Linked DNA regions of Macaca fascicularis. The protein of the gene in region 1 interacts with the protein of each later gene in a pairwise test. Links are inferred from orthologs where the notes say so. Each region holds a gene or a part of one and is shown in the gene's direction. Other genes may lie near its edges.

The links.
Region 2: the proteins of ZCCHC10 (region 1) and SFMBT1 interact in binary tests that used the Homo sapiens proteins (3 or more experiments, as listed by UniProt). The two-hybrid records come from large-scale screens. The link is inferred for Macaca fascicularis from reciprocal best matches to the Homo sapiens genes ZCCHC10 and SFMBT1.
Region 3: the proteins of ZCCHC10 (region 1) and PRR13 interact in binary tests that used the Homo sapiens proteins (3 or more experiments, as listed by UniProt). The two-hybrid records come from large-scale screens. The link is inferred for Macaca fascicularis from reciprocal best matches to the Homo sapiens genes ZCCHC10 and PRR13.

The regions. Positions count from the first base shown.
Region 1 is NC_088380.1:139,540,876-139,550,568, reverse strand, and holds the start of ZCCHC10 (zinc finger CCHC domain-containing protein 10), read left to right. Parts: upstream 1-4,484; 5' UTR 4,485-4,496; coding exon 4,497-4,537; exon of another isoform or gene 4,538-4,541; intron 4,542-8,265; coding exon 8,266-8,361; intron 8,362-9,693.
Region 2 is NC_088376.1:116,168,610-116,178,376, reverse strand, and holds the start of SFMBT1 (scm-like with four MBT domains protein 1), read left to right. Parts: upstream 1-3,173; 5' UTR 3,174-3,464; intron 3,465-3,862; exon of another isoform or gene 3,863-4,120; intron 4,121-4,635; exon of another isoform or gene 4,636-4,993; intron 4,994-9,767. UniProt on the Homo sapiens protein: Histone-binding protein, which is part of various corepressor complexes. Mediates the recruitment of corepressor complexes to target genes, followed by chromatin compaction and repression of transcription.
Region 3 is NC_088385.1:60,244,499-60,254,228, forward strand, and holds PRR13 (proline-rich protein 13), read left to right. Parts: upstream 1-3,136; 5' UTR 3,137-3,178; intron 3,179-3,288; 5' UTR 3,289-3,377; intron 3,378-4,070; 5' UTR 4,071-4,090; coding exon 4,091-4,109; intron 4,110-4,794; coding exon 4,795-5,168; intron 5,169-7,670; coding exon 7,671-7,718; 3' UTR 7,719-8,295; downstream 8,296-9,730. UniProt on the Homo sapiens protein: Negatively regulates TSP1 expression at the level of transcription. This down-regulation was shown to reduce taxane-induced apoptosis.

The DNA.
Region 1 (9,693 bases):
TTTTAAATGACCTCTAATAAAATTTCATCAGAGAAAATGGAAAAGAAACAGTTTTTTGTTTTTATTTTGAGATGGAGTTTTGCTCTTGTTGCCTAGGCTGGAGTGTAGTGGCACGATCTCGTCTTACCACAACCTCTGCCTCCCGAGTTCAAGCGATTTTCCTGCCTCAGCCTCCAGAGTAGCTGGGATTACAGGCATGCACCACCATGCCCAGCTAATTTTGTGTGTTTAGTAGAGATGGGGTTTCTCCATATTGGTCAGGCTGGTCTCAAACTCCCGGCCTCAGGTGATCTGCCCGCCTTGGTCTCCCAAAGTGCTGGTATTACAGGTGTGAGCCACCGCGCCTGGCCAGAAACAGTATTTTTTAAATGCAAAGATAGAACATGAATATTTTGTCACAAAAATAATCCTGGCCCCATATATAATAAATGAACAAGTGTACTGTATTACCTAAAGTGGACACATTTACAAATGCTGGCAATACTTGGAAATTTGAAGCAAGCTTTAATATGCATGTGATCCTAGCACTTTCGGAGGCTGAGACTGGTGGGTTACTTGAGCCCAGGAGTTCAAGAGCAGCCTGGGCACGCCCACACACACACGCACACACAAACTAGCCGGGTGTGGTGGCACATGCCTGTAGTTTCAGCTACTTGGGAGGCTGAGGTGGAAGGATGGCTTGAACCTGGGAAGTGGAGGTTGCAGTGAGCTGTGATCGCGCCACTGCATTCTAGCCTGGGTGACAGAGTAAGACTCTGTCTCAAAAATAAAATTAAATAAAAACAAATTTTAAAATTATATATAATATAGTTCTATCATATATATATATATATATAATAGAGACAGAGTTTTGCCATTTTGCCCAGGCTGGTCTCAAATTCCTGGGCTCAAGCAATCCACTCACCTCAGCCTCCCAAACTGCTGGGATTACCGGGATGAACCACCATGACTAGCCCTAAAGTGTTCTTAAGCTATATTTGCTTTTTGTGGAGACAGGCTATCTTGCCATTCTTATTTATAAAACAAATTATAATTACTGTTTTATTTTGCATTACACACCATGTAAACTTAATCTTGATTTAGTATTTTTCTTTTTGAGATAGGGTCTTAGTCTGTCAACCAGGCTGGAGTGCAGTGGTGTGACCTCGGCTCAAGCCGAGGCAACATTAGGTACACTGATACTGCAGGGGGTTGAACCTGATGATCTGCTTGCTGGCAATTGTCTAAAAAGGAAGCACATAAGTTCCCAGTCCTGAGATCTGAACTTTTCTCATTCAAGATCTTTGCAAGGCCTGGGTGTTCAATTACTTATATACTATGAGCTAGCCAATAAACTTCCAATAAATTCATTGTTTATTTAGCCAGAGTTTTGTTTTGTTTTTCTTACAATCGAATCTGAATTGACATAAGGAAATTGGTTCTATGTTATCTCAAACAAAACTGGCTGAAGGGGAGGAACAGATGTGTAATGGAAAAAGCTCAAGGCTATGGGCCTTGGACACATCTCTTAACATGCCTGAGTCTCAGTCCCTTTTTTTGTAAAATGAGGATAAACCCTACCTCTGGTGATAAAGTCAAGAGTCATTTGGGGTCAAGAAACAGAAACCTAACTTGAACTATCTTAATAAAAAAAGGAATACAGGCTGGGTGCGATGGCTCATACCTGTAATCCCAACATTTTGGGAGGCCAAGACGAGCAGATCATTTCAGGCCAGGAGTTTGAGATCAGCCTGACCAACATGGTGAAACACCATCTCTACTAAAAATACAAAAAATTTAGCCAGGCATGGTGATACATGCCTGTAATCCCAGCTACTTGGGAAGCTGGGGCACGAAAATTGTTTGAACCCGGGAGGCAGAGGTTGCAGTGAGCCGAGATCATGCTGCTGCACTCCAGCCTGAGTGACAGAGTGAGACTTCATCTCAAAAAAAAAAAAAAGAAAAAAAAAAAAAAAAGGAATATACTGAGGAAGCTGAGATAACCCCAAATAATCAAAGGAAAAGCAAATCAAGTCTAGGTAGGTCTTTTTCTGTCTCTCATCTCTCTTTCTCTTGGTATGTCAATTTCCTTCTCTTCTACTGCAGACTAGTTTAAATTACCAGAGGAGCCAGCAAATCCTGGACTCACAATCACACAGCCTTATGATCTATGTTACAGCAAAGTGCTGCATCGAAACCCAAGGACTTTAAGGAACCCAAGAAGCTTCATCTGAAGATAAGGAAACATGACACAACTTTTGAGCATTTTGTTTTTAGGTCATCTTGGAAAGTGGAAATAAACTGAGGAAAGCAGCTCTCACCTCATTCTGGGGAGTTTCAGGCACTACTCATGCCCTCAAGAGCCAATCCTGTTTTCATTTGGAGAATCAGAGCTTCTTACCCACAGAGGCCCAGAATGGCCATTCTCAAATCCCCTTGCATAGCCACTCTTCTTTACAAAATGAGTGGTCACCCTGCTCCCCTAGTTATCCAAGTTAGTTTTCTTTTTCTTCTTCTTTTTTTTTTTTTTGAGGCGGAGTCTCGCTCTGTCGCCCAGGCTGCAGTGCAGTGGCGTGATCTCTGCTCACTGCAAGCTCTGCCTCCCGGGTTCATTCCATTCTCCTGCCTCAGCCTCCCGAGTAGCTGGGACTACAGGCGCCCGCCACCACGCCCGGCTAATTTTTTGTATTTTTTTAGTAGAGACGGGGTTTCACTGTGTTAGCCAGGATGGTCTCGATCTCCTGACCTCGTGATCCGCCCGTCTCGGCCTCCCAAAGTGCTGGGATTACAGGGTTGAGCCACCGCGCCCGGCCTCTTTTTTTTTTTTTTTTTTTTTTTTTTTGAGACGGAGTTTCACTCTTGTTGCCCAGGCTGGAGTGCAATGGTGCGATCTCGGCTCACTGCAACCTCCGCCTCCCGAGTTCAAGTGATTCTCTTGCCTCAGCCTCCCGAGTAGCTGGGATTACAGGAATGCAACACCATGCCCGGCTAATTTCTTTGTATTTTTAATAGAGACGGGGTTTCTCCATGTTGGTCAAGCTGGTCTGGAACTCCCAACCTCAGGTGATCCACCCGTCTCGGCCTCCAAAAGTGCTGGGATTACAGGCATGAGCCGCTGCGCCTGGCCGGGAAACATTTTCATAAATACACTGATGAATGAAAAAAGCAAGCTAGAAAACACAACACGTAAGAGCCCAAGATTTTTGAAGAACAAGTTGTGCTCAAAGGTCACATCATCACTCTCCCTAACTCCTAATCACTCTTTAATCCCTTACTCTGAGATATTTTTCGTTAAGAGTACTTATCCCATGGGAATAGTTTTCATTCATGGTGTGTAGAAAGTTCCATGTGTACACGGATTTTATTTGTTCAAATGCTCTGTCCTCAGCTCCTAAAACATTTTAAGTGTTAATTATTAATTGAAAACATATGGCTGGGCGCGATGGCTCAAGCCTGTAACCCCAACACTTTAGGAGGCTGAGGCGGGCGGATTATGAGGTCAGGAGATCGAGAAAATCCTGGCCAACATGGTGAAACCTCGTCCCTAGTAAAAACACAAAAATTAGCTGGGCATAGTGGTGTGTGCCTGTGATCCCAGTTACTCGGGAGGCTGAGGCAAGAGAATCTCTTGAACCAGGGACCTGGAGGTTGCACTGAGCCAAGGTGGCGCCACTGCACTCCAGCCTGGCGACACAGCGAGACTCTGTCTCAAATGGAAAAAAAAAAAAAGGAAAAAATATGGATGACCCGGAAACACACACACACATACACTTCAGAAAGTTATATATATTTCAGAGAACGTGTTTTAAGAGAATAATAGCTCCGTGAGCTGACATTAGATGTAGGTGCAGCTAAAATATTGTAAAATATTTGTATAGTCCTTTTCTGCTTGACAAAGCAGCTTTACACAGTCCCATTTAGTACTTGTAACAACCCTGTGAAATACATACAAAACAGAAATAACGTGTATGTTTGCACTCTATGGCTTGCTAAAGTCATTCTTTCAATTGCTGGTCAACTAATTCCTTTCTATTCTCCAGACTACTTCTAAGTTTCTGAACACCACAGTTTCATTCTTTGTCTTTGTATGTGTATCCCTCGTTCGAGAATGTGGTCCTCATTTTCCACAGATAATGTTCTTGCCTGTAATCATCCTTTGAAACCCGGTTCCGCCAGAGAACCCGAGACCCACACTGGAGACACCGGCCCCTCCCGATCCACCAGCCCCTCCCCTCCCCTCCTCTTCCGACCCTCCATCCCCTCCCTTCCCCTCCCCTCCATCCCCTCCCTTCCCCTCCTTCCCCTCCCTCCCCTCCCTCCCCTCCCCTCCCTCCCCTCCCTCCCCTCCCTCCCCTCCCTCCCCTCCCGAGCCGGCACTGAGATCCTGCCGCGGAGGCTGCCCCAGAACCCCTAGAGGCCTGTCTGGCCTCGCCTACGTCTACGGCCTGCCGGTTGGAAGCCCCGCCCTTCCGAGGAGTTTCCCAAAACCCTGCGCGGCCGGCTTTGACCGCGCTAAGATGGCGACTCCCATGCATCGGCTCATAGCTCGGAGGCAAGCGTAAGTAAGGATCCGGTTCGGGCCCACCGGCGGGCTGGGAGCGGTGAAACGCGCGTCAACGGGCTAGTGTCGGACCCCTGTTGGGACCGGCGGAGAATGTCTGTTTCTCAAACACGCTTCTGGCTCCCGAGGGGCTCGGGCCCGAGCGATAAGTCTGGTGACCGTGGGTTAGCGATTTCACGGAAGACAGCCGTGTAAAGTCTGCGGCACGGGACAGAGCGGGGTTTGAAGACAACTGTCGCGTTTGGTTTCTCTGAAGGGAACGCCCACAGTTGGTCACTCAGTGATTTATGCCCCTCCGCCAACCCCACGCGTCGACAAGGGAGCCCTGAAGCCCCGGTCCGACACCTTTATGCCGGCCGACGTAAACCTTCAGTTTCCTATTTAGCGTCCATCCCTGCTGCCTTTTCCTACTTCCTTATTCTAGCGCCTTCCCTAGGAATCCTGCCTACAATGCCGACTGCCCTCCCAAGCTATCTTATCACTTTTTGGTACTCATTCTTTCAATAAATATTAATTTATCTAGTACCTACCGTTCTGTGCCAGACATTGGGTATAAAGAAAAAGAGGTGTTTTTTAGGACAAAAATCCTTGCTTTCAGAGAGCTTACATTCTAGTGATGGAAACAGTCGATAAACTACTAAATGTAAATACAGCTGGTGATAACAGCTTTGAAGGAAACAAACTGTTGTGATGGAAAGAGAGAAAGGCCCACTTTAGGTTGGTTGGACTGAAAAGGCATCTCTGAAGAGGTGGAATTTGAACAGAGATTTAAAGGGTGAAAAATTAACAGTCATAAGAGGATTTGGAGAAAGAGCATCCGGATAGTGGCATAATTGCTTTGAGGCTGAAACTTACTTTTTAAAGAACTGAAAGATGGCCATTACGCCTAATGAATAAGAGAGAGTGGCAGAAGAGATTCACACCTGACAAATAATGCAAGGGTCACCCCAGATGCCCTTTCTTATAAAGCTTTTGCACAGCCTTTGCACATCCAAACATCTGCCTCTTTTTCATAAAATATTTCATGCCATCTCCATTTTCATGTCCATATATAGCTCAAAGTCTGCTAGTATATATATGTGTATTTATATCTTTTTATATATTTTTAATTCAAATAATCCCTTTTTTTCTCTTTTCCTTTCCATCTACACTTTCAGGCCTGATAAGAAGAGTTCCTCAAATGTACAGACAGACTTAGGGAGTTAGAGTAGTAAGCTTGGTGAAGAAAGAAGGCTTGAAGTCAGACGGTTCTTTTTTTGAGACCGAGTCTCACTCTGTTGCCCAGGCTGGAATGCAGTGGTGTGATCTTGGCTCACTGCAACCTCTGCCTCCCTGGTTCAAATGATTATCCTGCCTCAGCCTCCCGAGTAGCTGGAACTACAGGTGCCCACCACTATGCCCTGCTAATTTTTGTATTTTTAGTAGAGACGGGGTTTCACTATGTTGGTCAGGCTGGTCTCGAACTCCTTATCTCAAGTGATCCCACCTTAGCCGCCCAAAGTGCCGGGATTACAGGCATGAGCCACTGTGCCTACCATTAAGTCAGACAATTCTGAGATCAAAAATGGGATGATAATACTTAAAGGGAGTGCTAAATGATGTCACCAGGTTCCGTTTCTCCCTGTCTGTCTCTCACACTTGCTCTTTGGTTGTTGGCTCCATATTTGAATAGGCTCTATTCTTTGCTCCCAAGATGGCTGCAGTATCCAGGGTCCTTTATATTCTCTCAGCTTCAAGTTGATTGTACTTCTTTGGTCTAGATTGGATTACATGCCCAATGTTAAACTATGCCTGTGGGATTGTGAATATCTGATTGATTTAGAGATCTTATTCTCCTTTCAGTACAACTGAATGGATGACCATAAGCCAATGATAACCAGGGTAGATAGGTCAGAGGAGGTAAATGAATGCAGGATTGGCAAAACTAATGTCCACTTTAAATATGAAGTGAAAATAAGACTTAGCATCTGAATAATACTGCTATTTATTGTTTCAGAAGTATCAAAAGTTAAATGTTTTATATCTACAATGTGTCTGTATTTGGTACATGAGTTACATGATTTGTAAAAGACAAATCTTACCTTTAAGGAGCTTTTGGTCCTGTTGGGAAGCAAACATGTGGCATACTGTAAAAACCGTTGTGGTATACTGCCCCACGTTGGGCGCCACGTATCCCGGCCCACGGGATAGTCAGAGCAGTCCCTGGAGGAGGGGGTGGGAATTTGGGGAACAAGAGACAGGAGAAATGGAGACAAGACAGTGCTCTGATCAAGTCTCGTTTAATGGTGGTAATGCAATGCCTTATATACATTTGGAGGGGAAGGGGTTGGGCTAAGGCGGAAATGACCTCATTGCGGAAGGTGTGGCCAGATAGGCTTCGGTTTCTCCGGTCGGACGTCATGTTGCGCCTGCGCAGTCAGGTAGTCTTTTCGCGGGTGTGGGAAAAATGAATGAAGAAGAAGCAGGAAGAGCGCCATCTTTTAATGGCGGTATTAATACAGGGAAGAAGGTAAATCTAGGGAGAAGGTGTGGGGTGGAAATGAATATAGCTCAGGCGTTTAATCTTTAATTATTATTCGCTATGGCCGGGGCGTGCAGCTCCGGACAGACTTACACAGAGTGTAAGTCTCCAAGGGATTCAGCAAAGGAGGGCCTTTAGAGGCTTGCGAAGTCCAAGAGAGTTTGGGGAATGTATTTGGGGGGAAAGCAGGAGAGGAGCCTTTACTTTTCATTTTATATTCATCAAAAAGGTTTAATTTTATTTACAAGGAGCATATATTACTTCTATAACAACAAATTTAAAATAGTTTTTAAGTTAGTAATGAGAAGTGAGAAAGTACTATCATCATTTTTTTTTTTTTTTTTTTTGAGATGGAGTTTCGCTGTTGTTGCCCAGGCTGGAGTGCAGTGGCACAATCTTGGCTCACCACAACCTCCACCTCCCAGGTTCAAGTGATTCTCCTGCCTCAGCCTCCTTTAGCTGGGATTACAGGCATGTGCCACCCGCCTGACTAATTTTGTATTTTTGGTAGAGACGGGGTTTCTCCATGTTGGTCAGGCTGGTCTCGAACTCCTAACCTCAGGTAATCTGCCTGCTTCAGCCTCCCAAAGTGCTGGGATTACAGGCGTGAGCCACCGCGCCTGGCCTTATCGTTCTTAAAAAAAAAAAAAAAAAAAAAAAAGATCTTTGGACTAATAGAAGAAAACGGGGAAAAAAGCCTAAATACAAACTCCTCATTGAGTAGCTCTTTCAGAGACTTAACTAGTCAGTCTACTAAATCAATTGGAATGAAATTATTTTTACCTTGTAAACTGTACTTACATATACCCATATTAAGTAAACTATGGAATCTAGGCAACATTTGGGGTCATTTCTTCTATTAAACCTTATATGAGATTCCACTACTTCCTCTTCAACATCCAGAGTCATTATCAAACTTGGCTTGAAGATTTCCAGTAATGTGTACTACCTCCTGACGTGGCCTGTTGTGTTTTTCAAATCTATCTAAAAGTTTATGTTGAGCTGAAAAGAAATAATATTTATAAAGTTAAACCTCACTTTTTTCTTACTCCCTTGTTTTTGACCCTTGCTATGATTTCAGTCGGCTAAAAAACCTTGTTTTCTACTTGAATTGTCATCAAGTCAGACCTCCCCTGCCTTGTACTGATTTTCTGGACTTAAGTGTCAGACTTACCTTTGTCCTTGTTAAATTTCATCTTGTTAGATTCGACACAGAGTTGCAGCCTGTCAAGACGTTTTGGATCCTGATTCAGCCATCCATCGTTATTAGGTATCCCTGTCAGCTTTGTGTCAACTGCAGGTTTGATAAATATGTACATTTGTGTCCTCATACAAGGCATTTATGAAAATGTTGAACAAGGCCGGGTGTGGTGGCTCACACCTGTAATCCCAGCACTTTGGGAGGCCAAGGCGGGTGGATCACAAGGTCAAGAGATCGAGACCATCCTGGCCAACATGGTGAAACCCCGTCTCTACAAAAATTAGCTGGGTGTGGTGGCACGCGCCTATAGTCCCAGCTACTCAGGAGGCTAGGCAGGAGAATTGCTTGAACCCAGGAGACAGAGGTTGCAGTGGGCCAGGATTGCACTATTGCACTCCAGCCTGGTGACAGAGCGAGAGTCCGTCTCAAAAAAAAAAAAAAAAAGGTTGGACAGTACCAAACCATGCAGGCCGTAACTGGATCTTTCTCTATTTTGTCATGCACCACATAACAGATCCCATATATTAATTCTGTGGTTGTCCCATAATATTATAATGGAGGTAAAAAAAAAAAAATTTTTATTGCCTAGTGACATCTTGATGATCCTGACCCTGTGTAGACCTAGGCTAATGTGTGTGTGTCTTAGTTTTTAACAAAAAAGTTTAAAAAGAAAAATAAATTTTAACAGAAAACAGCTTATAGAATGAAGATACAAAGAAAGAAAAGTATTTTTGTACAGCTATGTGTTTGTGTGTTGTTATTACAAAAGAGTCAAAAAGTTTTAAACATTTATAAGTTATAAAGTAGGCTGGGTGTGGTGGCTCACGTCTGTAATCCCAGCACTTTGGGTGGCCCATGGCAGGTAGATGACCTGAGGTCCAGAGTTCAAGACCAGCTTGACCAACATGGTGAAACCCCATATCTACTAAAAATACAAAAAATTAGCCAGGTGTCATGGCGGGCACCTGTAATCCCAGCTACTTGGGAGGCTGAGGCAGAAGAATCACTATCACCTGGGAGGCAGAGGTTGCAGTGAGCCGAGATCGCACCATTGCACTCCAGCCTGGGTGACACAGCAAGACTCTGTTTCCAAAAAAAAAAAAGTTATCAAGTAAAATTATAGTAAGCTAAGATGAATTTAATATTGAAGTAAAAAAAATTTGTAAATTTAGAGTGGCCGAATGGACAGTATTTATAAAGTCTGGTAGTGTCATGATTACTGTAGCTTCATAGTAAGTCTTGAAACCACGTGTTAGCCCTCTGATTTTTCTCTTTTTCAGAGTTATTTTGACTATTTTATATTGTATTTCCAGATAAATTTTAGAATTAGCTTACCAAAAGCTGCCGCAATTTCAGCTGGGATTGCGTTGAGTGTACAGATCAACCTATGGAGAATTGACATCTTAACAGTATTGAGTTCTCTGATCCGTG
Region 2 (9,767 bases), on another chromosome or scaffold:
AAAAATACAAAAATCTAGCCGGGCGAGGTGGCGGGTGCCTGTAGTCCCAGCTACTCGGGAGGCTGAGGCAGGAGAATGGCGTAAACCCGGGAGGCGGAGCTTGCAGTGAGCTGAGATCCGGCCACTGCACTCCAGCCTGGGCGACAGAGCAAGACTCCGCCTCAAAAAAAAAAAAAAAAAAAAAAAATTTTCAAAAAGGCTGGGCGTGGTGGCTCACACCTGTAATCCCAGCACTTTGGGAGGCCGAGGCGGGTGGATCATGAGGTCAGGAGTTCAAGACCAGCCTGACCAACATGGTGAGACCCCCGTCTCTACTAAAAATACAAAAATTAGCTAGGTGTGGTAGTGCACGCCTGTAATCCCAGCTACTGAGGAGGCTGAGGCAGGAGAATCGCTTGCACCCAGGAAGCAGAGGTTGCAGTGAGCCGAGATTGCACCACTGCACTCCAGCCTGGGTGACAGAGCGAGACTCTTGTCTCAAAAAAATCATTAACAATAGCTAACATTTAGAAAACATTTACTATGTCCTAGGTGTTGAGGTTGTGAGGCAGCTGTTAATCTTTTTTTTTTTTTTTTTTTTTTTTTTTTTTGAGATAGAGTCTTGCTCTCTCGCCCAGGCTGGAGTGCAGTGGCGCGATCTCGGCTCACTGCAAGCTCCGCCTCCCGGGTTCATGCTATTTTCCTGCCTCAGCCTCCTGAGTAGCTGGGACTGCAGCCGCCCACCACTACGCCTGGCTAAGTTTTCTGTATTTTTAGTAGAGACAGGGTTTCACCGTGTTAGCCAGGGTGGTCTTGATCTCCTGACCTCTCCACCCGACTCGGCCTCCCAAAGTGCTGGGATTACAGGTGTGAGCCACTGTGCCAGGCCGGAGGAAGCTGTTACTCTTATCCTAATTTTACAGACCAAGACCCGAAGGCCCAGAGGGGATAGGTAAGTTGCCAAGGTCACAGGGCTGGTTGTTGAACCTGGGTGGTCCCTCCTCAAAGCCAGTCCTCTTAATGGTAGGATGCATAGAGACACATAAACCAGTGTGGATATCAACTGATACTCTGAAAAAAGAAGACCTCATAAGGGCATGAGAGGGAATCAAGCCTTTTTATATGTCAGAACCTATTCCAAAGAACCAATATTTAGATTCACATGGTATTTGCTCAAACTTAGGGCTACAGAAGGAAATGGAGAATTCAGAAATATATTAATCAAAATCAAAAGTCTAGCGTAAAAGTAGGTTTTACTAAACAAAGGAATTTTTTATTTTTTATTATTTTTTTTGAGACAGAGTTTCGCTTTGTAGCCCAGGCTAGAGGGCAGTGGCGCGATCTCCGCTCAGTGTGAGCTCCATCTCCAAGGTTCACACCATTCTCCTGCCTCAGCCTCCCCAGTAACTGGGACTACAGGTGCCTGCCACCACGCCTGGCTAATTTTTTTGTGTGTTTTTAGTAGAGACGGAGTTTCACTGTGTTAGCCAGGATGGTCTCGATCTCCTGACCTCGTGATCCTCCCACCTCGGCCTCCCAAAGTGCTGGGATTACAGTCGTGAGCCACCGTGCCCAGTCTTTTTTTAAAATTATTTTTATTTTTATTTTTTGAGATGGAGTCTTGCTCTGTCACTCAGGTTGGAGTGCAGTAGCACAATCACAGCTCATTGCAGCCTAAAACTCCTGGCCTAAAGTGATCCTCTTGCCTCAACCTCCCAAAATGCTAGGACTACAGGTGTAAGTCCCCACGTCTGGTGAATAATTATTTAAGAAATGGTAACTGCAGAATTAATAACAACCGATGACAATGGTAGTGAGTTATGTCCATATTTTACTCCAAATAAATAAACCAAAATAAAATCAGGATAATCATCAGAGAATGAAATATGAAATGAAATTGTACAAAACTAGCAGAAAAAAGACTATCAGATGGGCAGCAGAAAGCTCACTTTGTCAGAATTGAAGCAATTAAAAAAACCACAAAGGATTCACTAGAATGACACATTGAACATTAGAATAAAACAAGAAAGAACAGGCTAGAAAATATTTGCATCAACGTCGACAAAGGAGTAATATCTATAATACAAAAAAAGCTTGTTTAAAGTTAGAAGAGGTTCAAGTCCCCAGAAGATAGATATGAACAGAACATTCACAGAAGAGGGAATGCAGATAATAAATGCATGGAAAAAAAATTCATGTTTGGTCACCTAAGAAATGCCAAGTAACCTTGAACTAGCAATAGACTATTAAAGTAGGGGGGAAATGGCACTCAATGTTTAAAAGTGTGTTAAACTCCTTACACTTGTTTTTTGGAGGCGGTAGAATAATTGGGGCAGCTCTTGGTGAAAACATGACGCTGTAAGCCAAGACTACTTGGCCATTCACAGCCTTCTACCTGGGAGCCTTTCCACTCCCAGGTATTTGTCCCAAGTGCAAAATTCAAGGATACGTCAAACAACTGTGAAGAACCAAAAACATTAGGGGGCTGAGTGAATAGTTCAGGACACCTGCACACCTTAAAAATGAATCATGTGAACAAAATAAAAATGGTAGTGAAAGTAGTAACAAAAACAGTGTTGTTGCAACTATATACAGTGTATATATATGTTTCATGTCGTGAAAAGTTTCATTGTAATAATATGGATTACTGTATTCTTTTTAGATTGTTCTCTTTCTGGTTGTCATATTGTTTTTTCAGCGGTGCTAAAAAAAATCTGGATTCAAATCCAGCCAGCGGCGTGACTTTGAGTAAGTTCCTGAAGTGGGATATTTCCCAGAGTGGTTGAGGGAGGTGGCTTGAGCTTGCGCCTGGCACACGGAGGGAACCCTAGACTTTCTTCTTGCGGTGGGGGCGCCTCTGGGCCCTGTCCGAGAACTCCTTTCAGGGCCTGGGAGTCTGATCGGGAGCTCCCGGGTCTCGGTGGCGCGGGAACTCCCTCCTGGAGGGAACTTTCCGGAGCAGGTGGGCGGGTGTATGTCCCACGGGCACCTGCGCTCAGGAGAAGGGGGCGAGTTCAGGCAACGTAACCGCTCACGGTCACCTCGGGTTGCGGGGCCAGCTCGAAGCCGCCTTCGAGGTTCTGATTCTTCCCGGGGCTCGGGGCTCTGGGCTCTTTCGTCCCAATTCTTAGCTGTCCTGTGCCCCCTCGCTGCAGGAAGACTCAAGATTTACAGCGCGCCTCCTGCGAAAGCCTAGAGACACCGGGGGCGCCGAAGGGCCCGCGCCGGACTTCGCAGACAGGGGGCACTTGGGTGTCCCTTCAGGTCTCAGAGGGCGCGCCCGATCCCCGACGCCGGGCAGGCAAACGGGCGCAGCCCCCACGGCGGCGGCACGCGCGCATCTGGGATCCGGCCGCTTCTCTGCTCATGCCATCTTGTCCGAACCGGTCACGTGCGGGCGACAGCGGCGCTCTTCGCCGGGCCAGTACGCCAGGTCCGACCCGTGAACCCCTCTGGGATCCCCACCGCTCCGTCCACAACCCGAGGTGAGGCGCGGGGGCCCTTCCCTCCTGGGTCGGGGTCGGGCCAAGGCGGGCACTGGGTTCCCGGGGAAAGGTCTCCTCTTCCGGGCCATTCAGCTCGGGGCCACGGCGCCGTCGGGGGCCCGAGGCGCCGCCGCGTGTCCTGCGCCACGGCCTCGGAGCAGTCCGCGCCGAGTTGCTGGCTGGGGGCGTGGGTGGCCCGCGGCGCCGGACCCCCGGCACACCAGCCTGCGGAGTCCTTGCCTCCCGCGTGGCCCCAGTCGGGAGGGATGGCGCTGGGGCGGGAGCGGGGCAGCCGGGCCCGGGGGCTCCACGGGCGCGGCGCGAGGGGCGCAGGCTGCCTGGAGGACCGCGGAGCTGGGGGTGGGGGGGCGCGGGCGCATGCGCCCTGCGTCCGTGCCATATTGGAATGAGTCGGAGCGCGGAGCGCCGCCGCCGCCTCCGCCGGAGCGCGGGTGGAGGGGGGCGGGGAGAGCTGCCGGCCGCCCCGCTCCGCCGAACCCAGCAGGAAGGAGGGCGCGAGCGGGCGAGCGCGGGCAGCGCGGGAGGAAAAAGCGCCCGCGCGGAGGAGCGAAAAGAAGGAAAGAAAGAAAGAAAACGAGCGCGAGAGGGGGAAAAGCGAGCGATCGAGCGAGCGCGCGCGCGAAAACTCCCGGCAGGTAAAAAAGCGGGGCCGCCGGCTGGGCCTTCCCGCGCGGCGGCCTGGAGGGGCGGCGGCGGCGCCGGGGCAGGGGACCGCACGGCGTCCCCTTCGAAGCGGCCGCGCAACTTTGCCAACGGGAAACCGCCGGGCGCCGGCGGGCGCGCGGGCTGAGGCGCCAACGGGCGGCGGCGGCGGCGGCACGTTGGGGGCGGGGGCGGGGCGGGGGGAGCGCGGCGCCCGCGCGCGGCCCCGCGGTCCCGCGCGCCGGCCGGCCGGCAGCAGGGGCGCGCCTGGGCGCCTCGCCGCGGCGGAGAGCGGCGGCAGCCGTCAGACCCTGGCAGGCAGCGCGGCGCGCGTCAGCCCGCAGGAGGCGTGAAAGGAAAGTGGCCGGGCGGCGGCAGTGGCGGGCGCCCAAGTTCCCCGGCGCGCCGGGCCCGCCGCGCGCCCCTCCCCGCGCGCGCCCCGCGCTCCGCCCGCCGAGCCCCCGCGGACCCGCCCCCCGGGCTCGCTCCGGGCGGGGCGCGAACCCGCAGTTGGGGCCGGGCGCGCGGCCGGTCGGAACTTCGGAGGGCCCGGGCGGTCGCCGCGCGGTGGCGGAGCGTCTAGCGGCCGCCGCAACCGGTGGCTCCGGGCTGCCGTTGTGAAGTGAGCGGGCCTCTCCCGTGCCGCGGCCCGCCGGGCACCGCCGCCGGACCCTGCGCCGACCCGGCAGCGCCCCGACCTGCCGCTCGGGAGGTCCGCGACCGTTTCGATTTCTGTTCCTAAAGTCCGATTTTGGACGCTGTAAAGGAGGCTGTGGAGGGGCGAGTGGCGTCCTGGGAAGCAAGGCCTGCTCTGTGCTTAGCAGAAACGCCTTGTGCGAACAGAAATAAATTCCCGCGGAAAGGATGTACGTTATGTTAAGTTTTTCACAAGATGTCAGCTGTTCCCGTGGGGTCTAAAACTAAGCCGGCAGGCACAGGTCACCCCCAGAGCTTATGCTCGAGGAGTGGTGGACGCTCGGGTCAGGTGGGGGTGTTCCCAGCGGGTGGCCCGAAGCAGCACTGGTTGATGGTCCCAATTGGTGTTTTTGAGTCCTGTTAGCACTGATCTGTGTTTGAGAACCAAGTAACCATCAAAGAGATTTGAAAGGAAGTGAGATGTATTTTGTTAATCCCCGCGTGTGTCTTCTCTTGAACCACATTTTCTAAGATGTCATACTTAATTTTATTGCATCTGGATAAAGTGCCTGAACATATAATCATTAATTTGTCAACTGGCTTGAAAGGATGAAGGAAGATGAATGTGCCTTTATGTGTACACTTTGAGGCCTGTTGACTAGCGTTTTGAGGCATTCGTTGAATTAGGCCATAGGTAGATTCGGAGTTAAGATTTGTTTGCGATGTCAGGAAAGTAACGGCCTGGTAGAAACGGCCAGAGATCAGGAAACAGTTCTGTTATTACCGTTGTAATTGACTAACTGCCTTATCTTGGGCACTTTTCTTACCCGTTGTAGCTTTGATTTTCCTTATTTGCAACATTAAGATAAACAGATCATTTTTGAGGGTGCTTTCAGTTCGAAAATTCGGTGGCTTTTTAAACTGAAAGATTCTTAGAAATCACAGTGTATATTTTGATAGGTTCTACATAAAAGTGCTCGCAATGTGTGTCTTTATTAAAATTCATTTGGAAAAAATATCTTGGTAGCTAGATCTAGAATGGTTTTATATGATTGTTTGAATAGATTTTTAACAATGTATTTCAATGTGCTTAAAAATTATATGTATTTTTTATTGAGGTATATATAACCTACAGAAAGATCTTAAGGGTACAATTCAATGACTTTTTATGCATGTATACACCCTGATAACCACACTCAGATCAAGATATGGAACATTTTCAGGCCCTGTATCTTTTCCATTCAGTAAACACATTCCCCCTCCCCACGGCAACCACGATTCTGACTTCTGTCACCACAGATGAGATTTGCCTCAAAACAAGACCCTTTTGAGGGTTAAAGGGGCAATGCTAACAAACTGAGGATAGCTTGTATGTAAACTTGGAGTTATGGCCGTGTAAGCCATGACCCTTTGCTTTTATAATGATTGTTAGGGTTTTCGTAACCCAGAATAACTTAAAATTCTCTCCTAAGGGACTTCTTAGAAGATCACTTTTCAGTGGGGGCAATACTTTGCAGGTTACGATTTGTAGTTCTTGGGAGTCCTTAGGTTCACAGACAATGGTATTAATCTATTACTTCCCATTTTTGGAATATAGGTACTATATATTTGTAGACAATAGATTGGAATAATGAATCATGAATTTTCCCAACAAGTTAGAGTTTAAGGTGTCAGTAGATGAATCAGGGTCTTAATGCCTAGAATTTGCTGAGAAAATTGAATGAAAATTGGTTTTTTAAAGTTAAGTGAATTAAGAATGTGTAAGCTTTAACAAGGTTTTCAATGACAGCAGTTAACTTGACTTATATATACAGGATAGTCAGCTGGTTTATCAAATCATTTAAAGTCCAACAATGAAAGCAAAAACAAAAGGTTAACTAAAAATTGTGTCAGGTGTGATTTAAAGAAACCAGCGTGACTAAGATGCCTGTGTAAATTAACCCTCTGTCTAGGAAGGTGGACTTTTTTTTTTTTTTTGAGACGGAGTCTTGCTCTGTCGCCCAGGCTGGAGTGCAGTGGCCGGATCTCGGCTCACTGCAAGCTCCGCCTCCCGGGTTCACGCCATTCTCCTGCCTCAGCCTCCCGAGTAGCTGGGACTACAGGCGCCCGCCACCTCGCCCGGCTAGTTTTTTGTATTTTTTAGTAGAGACGGGGTTTCACCGTGTTAGCCAGGATGGTCTTGATCTCCTGACCTCGTGATCCGCCCGTCTCGGCCTCCCAAAGTGCTGGGATTACAGGCTTGAGCCACCGCGCCCGGCCCTTTTTTTTTTTTTTTTGAGACGGAGTCTGGCTCTGTCGCCCAGGCTGGAGTGCAGTGGCGCTATGTCGGCTCACTGCAAGCTCTGCCTCCTGGGTTCCCGCCATTCTCCTGCCTCAGCCTCCCGAGTAGCTGGGACTACAGGCGCCCGCCACCGCGCCCGGCTAGTTTTTTGTATTTTTGGTAGAGACGGGGTTTCACCGTGGTCTCGATCTCCTGACTTTGTGATCCGCCCGCCTCGGCCTCCCAAAGTGCTGGGATTACAGGCGTGAGCCACCGCCCCCGGCCGGAAGGCGGACTTTTAAATATTCTCCACTGAAGCACATGCTGCAACAATTTGCATTTCCTTCACCAGTGTCTTCTTGTGCCTTTTCTTGTTTCTACGGTAAAGGAGATGGGTTAGATGTTGTAAGTGAATTCTTATTTTGTTAGTTCCTAACAACGGCTTGTGTTTTTACTGCAAAGATATCCCTGTGATAAAAGTTGGGAATGTTCTAAGGCCTGTGGTGTAGGGATCCATGGGGAATAGTCCACAAAGTTAAAAGGTTTTCTTTTGTGAAATGATTTCACTGAACAATTCTGTCTTTTTGTGTTAAGTTAGCCAGCCAACTGACTGACCAGCCACTAAGCTGGATTTGGTCACTCCACCCAAGATTCCCTCATTAGCCAAGAGAGTAATTGATGACTTAGCTATTACTGATCCATTGTTTCTTTTTGTGTCTCTTTTTAAATTTCTTGGCTTTTATGTGATCAGATTGTTTAATTTAAAATCTATTAAATTTTTAAGAGAAGCAACTAAAGAGATATACAATGAGAAACAAAATACACAATGAAAGGGAATTTCCTTTTTTTGCTATGTTTTGTTGTAAACTCAGATTTTTCCTTTTAAAAATGATTGCTGGCTAGGCACAGTGTCTCACGCCTATAATCCCAGCACTTTGAGAGGCTAGGCAAGAGGATTGCTTGAGACCAGGAGTTGGAGACCAGCCTGGATGAAAGAAAAGGGAGACCCTGTGTCTACAAAAAATAAAAAAAATTAGTCAGCCATGGTGGCGGGCGCCTATAATCCCAGCTCCTCAGGAGGCTGAGGTGGGAGGATCCCTTGAGCCCAGGAGTTTGAGGTTGCAGTGAGCTATGATTGCACTGCTACACTCCAGCCTGGGTAACAGAGTGAGACTGTCTCAAAAAACAAACAAACCAACACAATATGATTTGCCTATCCATAACCTTACTGTTTCTGTAGTGTACTTTTGCTTTCACAGTGATAACTAGACTGGGTTTAGCTGTGGAATGGTGGTGTAGCAGCAAGTCTGTAGAAAAGATGAACTATGCAAAACTTCATTGACTTTTTAGTTTGACTTCATGTTATGTTCACATTAAGTTAATACAGTCCAAAAACCAGAAGGCTATTATTTAGACAGACATTTTACATCTTTAATATTTTTAATGTTACATTTTTTTCTTGTAATTTTCCAAAATTTTGCTTTCTCGATTATTTGGCTGATAACCAATATTTTGGAATAATTACATGAAAATGAAAGAACTTGTAATGAGTAAATGATACAACTTCCTTATGGCAGAGTATTTTTCTTTTAGTATATAGCATTTATTACCTAACTGGGGTATTTTGTATTTGAAAATAATATTTCTGTATATACATAGTTATTAAATGGGCTAAAAGTGTCTGGGGATTTTGGTTACTTGGGAGATTTTGAACCATTAGAGTTTGGGGAGTGGAATTTTGATAGGAGTCTCCCATTCTTCAGGGGATACTAACCTCATTGGAACATAATTTTTTTTTTTTTTTTTTGAGACGGAGTCTCGCTCTGTCGCCCAGGCTGGAGTGCAGTGGCGCGATCTCAGCTCACTGCAAGCTCCACCTCCCAGGTTCACGCCATTCTCTTGCCTCAGCCTCCCGAGTAGCTGGGACTACAGGCGTCTGCCACCATGCCTAGCTAATTTTTTGTATTTTTTAGTAGAGACAGGGTTTCACCGTGTTAGCCAGGTTGGTCTCAATCTCCTGACCTCGTGATCCACCTGCCTTGGCCTCCCAAAGTGGTGGGAATACAGGTGTGAACCCTGCGCCCGGCCTTTTTTTTTTTTTTTTTTGAGACGGACTTTCACTCTTGTTGACCAGGCTGGAGTGTAATGGCACGTTCTCGGCTCATCGCAACCTCTGCCTCCCGGGTTCAAGCAATTATCCTGCCTCAGCCTCCCAGGTAGCTGGGATTATGGGCATGCGCCACCTTGCCCGGCTAATTTTGCTATTTTTAGTAAAGATGGGGTTTCACCATGTTGGTCAGGCTAGTCTTGAACTCCTGATCTCAGGTGATCTACCCTTCTTGGCCTCCCAAAGTGCTGGGATTACAGGCGTGAGCCACCGCGCCTGGCAGAAAATGATTTAAAATAGAATGTGGTCAGGTTGTTGCAGATTCATGTTTAAACTTTTCAACAGGGGGAGGAAGGATAAGAACGACGACACGTTATTAACAGAAAAATTACGTGACTTCACTGCATAAGTTTTTTTTTTTTTTTTTTTTTTTTTTTTTTTGAGATGGAGTCTCGCTCTGTTGCCCAGGAGTGCAGTGGCGCGATCTCGGCTCACTGCAAGCTCCACCTCACGGGTTCACGCCATTCTCCTGCCTCAGCCTCCCGAGTAGCTGGGACTACAGGCGCCCGCCACCTCACCCGGCTAGTTTTTTGTATTTTTAGTAGAGACGGGGTTTCACTGTGTGAGCCGGGATGGG
Region 3 (9,730 bases), on another chromosome or scaffold:
AGGCTGGTCTCGAACTCCTGGCCTCATGTGATCCACCTGCCTCGGCCTCCCAAAATGCTGGGATTACAGGCATGAGCTACCATGTTCTGCCTATATCCCACAAATTTTGGATCTAATATTTTCATTATGGCTTATTTCTTTTTGTGCTCTTTTGCCCATGCTGGAGTGCAGTGGCATGATCTTGGCTCATCACAACCTCCACCTCTCAGGCTCAAGTGATTCTCCCACCCCAGCCCTGAGTAGCCGGGACAACTGGGTGTGAGCCACCACACCCGGCTAATTTTTGTATTTTTATGCCCGGCTAATTTTTGTATTTGTATTAGAGACAGGGTTTCCCCTGTGGCCCACGCTGGTCTTGAACTCCTGGACTCAAGGAATCTGTCTGCCTCAGCCTCCTAAAGTGTTGGGATTACTGGCGTGAGCCACCACACCCGGCCTGCTTCTTTCTTCCTTCCTTCCTTCCTTTTTTTTTTTTTTTTTTTTTTTGAGACGGAGTCTTGCTCTGTTGCCAGTCTGGAGTGCAGTGGCACCATCTCAGCTCACTGCCATCTCTGCCTCCCGGGTTCAAGTGATTCTACTGTATCAGCCTCCTGAGCAGTTGGGATTACAGCGTGTGCCATCACACCCAGCTAATTTTTGTATTTTTAGTAGAGACAGGTTTTCACCATGTTGGCCAGGATGGTCTCAAAATCCTGACCTCATGATCCACCCACCTCGGCCTCCCAAAGTGCTGGGATTATAGGCATGAGTCACCGTGCCCACCTACTTATTTCTAAGTATTTAATTTCCATCATGGCTTATTCTTTCCGTGGTTATTTTAAGGCAATTTATTTATTTATTTAGAGATTGAATCTTGCTCTGTCACCCAGGCTGGAGTGCAGTGGTGTGATTTGGGCTCACTGCAACCTCTGCCTCCCAGGCTCAAGTGATCCTCCCACCTTACCCTCCTGAGTAGCTGGGACTACAGGCGTGCACCACCACTCTCGGCTAATTTTTATTTTTTATTTATTATTTATTTATTTTTATTTTTATTTTTATTTTTTTTGAGACGGAGTCTTGCTCTGTCGCCCAGGCTGGAGTGCAGTGGCCGGATCTCAGCTCACTGCAAGCTCCGCCTCCCGGGTTTACGCCATTCTCCTGCCTCAGCCTCCCGAGTAGCTGGGACTACAGGCGCCCGCCACCTCGCCCGGCTAGTTTTTTTGTATTTTTAGTAGAGACGGGGTTTCACCATGTTAGCCAGGATGGTCTCGATCTCCTGACCTTGTGATCCGCCCATCTCGGCCTCCCAAAGTGCTGGGATTACAGGCTTGAGCCACCGCGCCCGGCCTTAATTTTTTATTTTTGTAGAGATGATGTCTTACTAAGTTGCCCATTCTGGTCCTGAACTCCTGACCTCAAGTGATCCTCCAGCCACGGCCTCCCAAAGTGCTGGGATTACATGCATAAACCACTGTGCCCAGCCTGGATGACAGTTAAACAATTTTTTTTCTAAAAAAAAAATCTAGCTGTATGTTTGCTTATATTTTACATCGTGGTCAGGGAATATGTATTGAACAGTTCTTTCAAAATTGAATTGCATCAGTTGAGACATGCTTAACTTAGAATGTGACCAATTTTTATAAATGCTCTAAGCATGCTTAAGGAGAATTAGCAGTCATTAAGTTTTGAGAGCATGGTTCAATGCATGTTCATCAGGTCAAGTTTGTTAATTGTATTGTGTGTGATTTTTTTGTTGTCGTTGTTTATTATTATTATTTTTGAGACGGAGTCTCACTCTATTACCCAGGTTGGAGTGCAGTGGCACGATTTCGATTTCGGCTCACTGCAACCTCCGCCTCCCGGGTTCAGCGATTCTCCTGCCTCAGCCTCCCAAGTAGCTGGGATCACAGGCACATGTCACCACGCCCGGCTAATTTTTGTATTTTTAGTAGAAACGGGGTTTTACCATATTGGCCAGGCTGGTCTCGAACTCCTGACCTCGTGATCCGCCCGCCTCGGCTTCCCAAAGTGCTTGGATTACAGGCATGAGCCAATGTACCTGGCCACTTGTATTGTTTTCTTTAAAAAAAAAAAAAAAAAGTCTGGGCGCGGTGGCTCACGCCTGTAATCCCAGCACTTTGGGAGGCCGAGGCAGGCAGATCACGAAGTCAAGAGATGGAGACCATCCTGGCCAACATGGTGAAACCCCATCTCTACTAAGAAATACAAAAATTAGCCGCGCCTGTAGTCCCAGCTACTCGGGAGGCTGAGGCAGAAGAATCGCTTGAACGCGGGAAGCGGAAGTTGCAGTGAGCTGAGGTCGCACCACTGCACTCCAGCCTGGCAACAGAGCGAGACTCCGTCTCAAAAAAAAAAAAAAAAAAAAAAAAAAAAAAAAAAAAAAAAAGAGGCCATTGTAGCAATTCAGGGGAGAAATGAATCCAGGCGAGAGATGATGGGAGGTTTAGACCAGGGAAGACGGAGAGAAGTGGAGAGATTCCAGATGTATTTGTGAGACAAAACTGGTAATTTGGGGTAAGGGAGGTGAAGGAGACAGAGGGATCACGGAAGACCTCCTTGGTTTCTGGTTTAGGCTTCTTGACAGATGGCGGAGCTATGCAATTGAGAGAGGGAATCCTGGGAGAGATTATGAAATCTCTGTATTTTCCGCAAGAATGTTTGTTTGCTTCCCTTGCGAGTGTAAGAGGGAGCCGAGAACATTGAGGCTTGGGGCTAGGACTCAGCAGCTCCTCTGCCCTTGCCGAGAACTCTGTCTATATCTGTATTACAACACTTACCATAGTGTATTCACTTTACAAGGTATTGCACCCAGTGAACCATGACTAGCAGAGAGCAAGGGCAGAGTTTCTTCTCGGTGTCTCTAGGACTTTGCCCAGCAGCTGGCCCCGCCCCCTCTAGCGCTCTCCGCCTAGCTCCGCCCCCAGGAGATTTCCGGCTTCTCAGTACTTGCCTAGTCGTAAAGGGCTCCGGTCTGCAGCTAGAGCAACCGTTTCCTCCTCAGTTGGACCAGAGTGATTGATTAGTTTGTTGTCCAATCATCAGCCGAGTGGCCACATAATTACCAATTAGGCAGTAGCAGAGGCGGGTACCGAAGCACGGGGTCTGGGTGACTAGGTGTGACTAGGAAGTAAGAGCCGAGACTGCGAAGAACGCATCAAGTCCAGGCGGCGGTGGAAAGGTGACGTGGTATCTGAATTCCATGGGTTTATTCCTTTTCCCATTGCTGGGTTAAGAGCCCCTTCGCAGCTTGGGGCTAGGATCTTCATTTGCCTTTTTTCTTTTTTGGAGGAATTGGGCTGTGTCCATTTATTTAAGTATTTGAGGTTCTTGAGCAACTTCCTTCTTCGCCTCCAGGCGTATCCTTTTCTTAGCCTGAGGTGAGGTCCTCCCCAGGGAGAAAGTTGTTTGAGATCCTTTCTTACTCTGTGGGTGGTTAAAGGCCTCCGGACTCAGTTCCAGGAAAGGGGGATGAATGATGGGGGTGCCGAGACTCGCGGGCTATGCCCTCTTGCGAAGAGTTAGACGCTTCAACCTAGGTGGAGGGGCCCTGGGAACTAGATTCCTGTGTTAGGAACCAAGTAGGTATTGAGGGCGAAGAAACAAGTGGAAAGAGACATTTCTTTCTTTTTTTTTTTTTCGAGGCGGTGTCTCGCTCTGTTGCCCAGGCTAGAGTGCAGTGGCGCGATCTCAGCTCACTGTAACCTCCGCCTCCCAGGTTCAAGCGATTCTCCTGCCTCAGCCTCCCGAGTAACTGGGATTACAGGCGCCCGCCACCGCGCCCGGCTAATTTTTAGATTTTTAGTAGAGACGGGGTTTAACGATGTTGGCCAGGCTGGTGTCGAATTCCTGACCTCGTGATGCACCCGCCTTGGCCTCCCAAAGTGCTGGGATTACAAGCGTGAGCCACCGCGCCCAGCCAGAAAAGAGATGTGTCTTATGTGGAAGTCGTGGTAGTTCTCCAGGTGGGAGAGCCTACTGTGGGGTGGAAGACGTTAGGGCTGGGCTCCGGTGCTAAGTCCACTTCCTACCTCTAGACTGTCATCTTTTTTGCCTCATTTCTTTCTCCTCAGGCTGGAGGACACACCTAAACATGTGGAATCCCAATGCCGGTAGGTGTTTGGGGGTTCTGTACGACCCCTAACCCTTTTTCTGATGGACTCTGTAACAGGAAGTTTCTCTATCAGCTGCCCCATCCCCGACCCGCCACACCCGCAAAAGCAAAGTCCTTAGTCTACAGCTGACCAGTGCTTTTTTATTTTATTTTATTTATTTATTTTTTGAGACGGAGTCTCTGTCGCCCAGGCTGGAGTGCAGTGGCGCGATCTCGGCTCACTGCAACCTCCGCCTCCTGGGTTCAAGCGATTCTCCTGTTTCAGCCTCTGGAGTAGCTGAGATTACAGGCGTGCGCCATCACGCCCGACTACTTTTTGTATTTTTAGTAGAGACGGGGTTTCACCATGTTGGCCAGGCTGGTCTTGAACTCCTGGCCTCATGTGATCTGTCCACCTCGGCCTCCCAAACTGCTGGGATTACAGGCTTGAGCCACCACGCCCCACCGGCCTGACCAGTACTTTTGTCTTCCTCAGAGTTCACTGTCTCCCTCCTCTCTCCAGCCCTTACGGGGACATTCCCCTTTTATCCTCAACTCAGGTTTGTCTCCCCTACCTTCTATTCTCCTTTGTCACTTTTCCATTTCCCTTTAAGTATTGGGTGAGAAAGAATCTCTTTCTTTTTGTTGTTTGTTGTCGGAGACTCTGGGGAATACTAATGTTTATAATCTGCTTCTTCCCCCAGGGCAGCCAGGGCCAAATCCATATACCCCCAACATCGGGTGCCCTGGAGGTTCCAATCCTGCCCACCCACCACCTATTAACCCACTCTTTCCCTCAGGCCCCTGTCCTCCTCCCCCAGGAGCTCCCCAGGGCAATCCAGCTTTCCCCCCAGGTGGGCCCCCTCATCCTGTGCCACAGCCAGGGTATCCAGGATGCCAACCCTTGGGTCCCTACCCTCCTCCATACCCACCTCCTGCCCCTGGAATCCCTCCTGTGAATCCCTTGGCTCCTGGCATGGTCGGACCAGCAGTGATAGTGGACAAGAAGATGCAGAAGAAAATGAAGAAAGCTCATAAAAAGATGAACAAGCACCACAAGCACCACAAGCGTGGCAAGGTCAGTACCCTCTGGAGCCTGGCTAGGGAAGGGGTGCCCCCTCAGAGGGACTAGGTAGGCAGGGGTTGGGTGAGGGGGATTCACATTCTGTGGACGTGGGGGATGACGATTGTGTCACTCTGGTCGATGATTCTTCCTTTTTGTAAAAGATTGCTACTGGGAAGAATCTGATTATCTTGAAAAGAAACATCAGGCTTCTCCTATCTGGGGGGAGCTAGGGTGAGCCTTAAAATAGATTTTTAGAATCAAAAGCCAAATCTTTTCTGCCCTACTCTCTCCCAGAACTTTTGCTCCCCTCCCCGCAGGTGCATATTCTAGCAAGTTGGACCCCCTCACTGACATTATCAAAACATCAATTAAAGTCATTCCTTTGACAAAGCAAAGTCTTATAATAATTAACAGAATAATAATATGGCCCTAGTTCCTGGAGTTCTTTCTCTCTTTCAGTGTTCTTAGGGCCTTGTGTTAATTACATGGGCCCTTTGCCCTATCATCCAGCAGAAAAAGTGAGGACAAGAGCAGTCAGTGACTCAGCCTCTAACAGCCTAGGACTAAGGAGGTTTTATACTCAGCCCCAAGGCTGAGTATCTTTGTTTTAGAGGACTGTTAAAAATTAGTAAGGATCATGCCTGTAATCCCAGCACTTGGGAATTATTAGCTGGGTGTGGTGGCGCATGCCTGTAATCCCAGCTACTCAGGAGGCTGAGGCAGGCGAATTGCTTGAACCCGGGAGGCGGAGGTTGCAGTGAGCCCAGATCTCACCACTGCACTCCAGCCTCGATGACAGACAAGACTCCATCTCAAAAAAAAAAGTGCAAGGATAAAAGCAACTCTGAGGACAACTCTGGAAGGATTAAACCAATCTGCATCTTGATGAGGCCTCCATTTACATTTAACTGCCCAGTAAATTTATTTGCCTTGTGGATTCTAATTCCTGATTCTGGGTATTTGATAGAAGTCTGAAGAGAAGGCCAGGCACTGTGGTCCACACCTGTAATCCCAGCACTTTGGGAATCCAGGGCAGGCAGATCACGAGGTCAGGAGTTCGAAACCAGCCTAGCCAAATGGCGAAACATGTCTACTAAAGATACAAAAAATTATCTGGGCATGGTGCTGTGTGCCTGTAATCCCAGGTACTCCGGAGACTGAGGCGGGAGAATCTCTTTTTTTTTTTTTTTTGAGACGGAGTCTCGCTCTGTCCCCCACGCTGGAGTGCAGTGGTGCAATCTCGGCTCACTGCAAGCTCCGCCTCCAGAGTTCACGCCATTCTCCTGCCTCAGCACCCCCCACCAACTAGCTGGGACTACAGGCACCCGCCACAGCGCCTAATTTTTTTTTTTTTTGTTTTTTTTTTTTTTTTTTTGAGACGGAGTCTCGCTCTGTCGCCCAGGCTGGAGTGCAGTGGCCGGATCTCAGCTCACTGCAAGCTCCGCCTCCCGGATTTACGCCATTCTCCTGCCTCAGCCTCCCGAGTAGCTGGGACTACAGGCGCCCGCCAACTCACCCGGCTAGTTTTTTGTATTTTTTAGTAGAGATGGGGTTTCACCGTGTTAGCCAGGATGGTCTCGATCTCCTGACCTCGTGATCCACCCGTCTCGGCCTCCCAAAGTGCTGGGATTACAGGCTTGAGCCACCGCGCCAGGCTATTTTTTGTATTTTTAGTAGAGACGGGGTTTCACCCGTGGTCTCCATCTCCTGACCTTGTGATCCTCCCACCTCGGCCTCCCAAAGTGCTGGGATTATAGGCATGAGCCACCGCACCCAGCAGAGAATCTCTTAAACCCAGGAGGTGGAGGTTGCAGTGAGCTGAGATCATGCCATTGCACTCCAGCCTGGGCGACAGGGTGAGACTCCATCTGAAAAAAAAAAAAGAAGTCTGAAGAGAATTGAGATTTAGTGGGGAAGAAGGGGGAGAAATTACCCTGGAGAGACTGAAAAATGTTTTTATTTAATAACTGTAGCATTGCTGGGAGTATGTGCTTAAGGAACATTTAATAGAACTCCCAGCCTTTTCTTACATCTTCCCCACTTTTTCCTATTGTGCTTTGGAAAAAGTAGAGATACGTGCACACACAACTGCTGTTTCTACTGTCTTCTTAGAATCCAATTTCTTAAAATCATAGGACTTTGCATGCAGCTAATAAATAAGCATTTATAAGGTAACTGCTGTTTCCTGGCACCATACTATGCTTGGGCCTGTAATTTATTCCTTGCCTAGGCATCGATTCAGGTAAAGAAAGTTGGAAATTTGCTCCAAAGGCAATATGTTAAATTTTTAAAATTCTGTGTGATAATTTAGGATGGTTTAATCCATTCCTGTGTGCTCACTGCTGAAGGAAACCCTTGCTTTTGTTTAGGTACAGTCAGTTCAAGACTCCTGACCTTCTTAGGGAAGCAAGGGATACTTGGGTAGAGGGGTAGGGCACCAAAGAATGGCCCACGGAGTGATGAAAGGTCATTTGGATCTGATGCTTCTTTCCTCTTTCCCCTTTCCCCTTGCAGCATTCCTCCTCCTCTTCCTCCTCCTCTTCCAGCAGTGATTCTGACTGAATACAGGCCCTGGACCCTTCCCTCAAGTCTCACCAGTTCTGCTCTCCCATCAAGCTTCAGATGCCATGTTGTACTGGGGGAAAGTAGCCCTTGTGCTCCCCACCCCCTACCTCCACCTGAGCCTCACCCTGCTGTTGAGCCCTGAGTGGCTAGGGGAAATGGGAAGAGGATTGCCATGGCCTGGCCATCTTGTTGCTGCTTGGATAGATCATATAGCTAATGAATTAGGCAGGGGAGCTATTTTTTGAAAATGATGAACTAAATGTTGAAGACAAGTTTGAGATCTGTAAAATGTGATTTTTTTACTTCCGCTTATAATACTTGTGATTGGGGAGGTTTGCGGAAATTTAATTATGATGAAAAACCTCTATCTTTTTTGTAATGTTGCCATACTTGGGGAATTTAGTGGCAAATACATTCCCCAGCAGGCCTTTTGTTGGTTGCACTAACTGCAAAGTTGCTGGGAAGTAGAGTCCCTTTGGTCGATCAGCTTTGACCGCCATTTTGGAACCTTACCTTTCCTCCTTAGCCCAATATGCTGTCTCAGGTCCTATTCAAATAAAGATATTTCTCCTGGTCTCTGTTCACCTGTGCTATCACCTTGGCTGGGTATGGCACATTCTACAACTTTTGCTAATGTTCCACAGACCCTTTAAAGTGTATCAATTTTATAGAAGGGAACCAGAGCTTCACTGAGGAAGACACCATGTGATTCCTATGTTTTTTAAGTGGGAGAACTCTTCAAAATTGGGTCAGGCAGAGTGGCATGAATCTTTTTTGTCTTCCCTTGGGTCAATGGATATAGGCCTTTAGCTTATGTTTTTTTAACTCTGGCTGCCCATCAGCTATGAGAGAGTAATATGGGGCTTTACCCCAAATTTATTGAATAATACTTATTTTTTTTTAATTTTTTTCCTAAAACTTTTTATTTTTATTTATGTATTTATTTATTTTGAGATGGAGTTTCGCTGTTATTGCGCAGGTTGGAGCGCAGTGGCGCAATTGTAACCTCCACCCCCCAGGTTCAAGTGATTTTCCTGCCTCAGCCTCCCAAGTAGCTGCGACTACAGGCACCTGCCACCATGCCCGGCTAATTTTGTATTTTTAGTAGGGACAGGGTTTCAACATGTTGGTCAGTCAGGCTGGTCTCAAACTCCTGACCTCAGGTGATCCACCTGCCTTAGCCTCCCAAAGTGCTGGGATTACAGGCATGAGCGACCGTGCTCAGCTAAGACTTTTTACATGTGTCCCTACAAATCAGTATATTTAAGAAACTGTGGGCCAGGCGTGGTGGCTCACGCCTGTAATCCCAGCACTTTGGGAGGCTGAGGCAGGCAGAGCACGAGGCCAGGAGTTCCAGACCACCAGCCTGGCCAACATGGAGAAACCCCATCTCTATAAAAATACAAAATTAGCCGCGCGTGGTGGCTCATGCCTGTAACCCTAGCTACTCGGGAGGCTGAGGCAGGAGAATCGCTTGAATCCGGGAGGCAGAGGTTCAGTCAGAATTGGAGCTCAAGACAGCCTGGCTTCTGAGTCTCTGCTCTTAACCCAATGGATTCCAGGCAGAAGCAGTAGTTTTACAAAGGTGCCAAGTTGCAAAAAGTGTACGATGAAAGGAGCTCCTGAACCTGAGTTCCTGAAAGCAGGAAATGAGGCTGCAGTTGGGGACATGGGGCTAGAGGAAGGAGTAGACTTAACAGATGTTTCTGAGGTGGAACCCATGGGTTTGGGCATTGAGTGCAGGGCTTGAGGAGGAACAGGGAAGAGGGAGTGTTTTGAGTTGGCTATACTGCATCCATAACTTCTCTGGAAAGAGTTCTATGAAATAAATGCCTGAGATCTTCTTATATTTTACAGCTAGCTTCTAATTTTATTAGAAAATCCATGGCTGGGCGCAGTGGCTCACACCTGTAATCCTAGCACTTTAGGAAGCCGAGGTGAGCGGATCACCTGAGGTCAGGAGTTCGAGACCAGTCTGGCCAACATGGTGAAACCCCGTCTCTACTAAA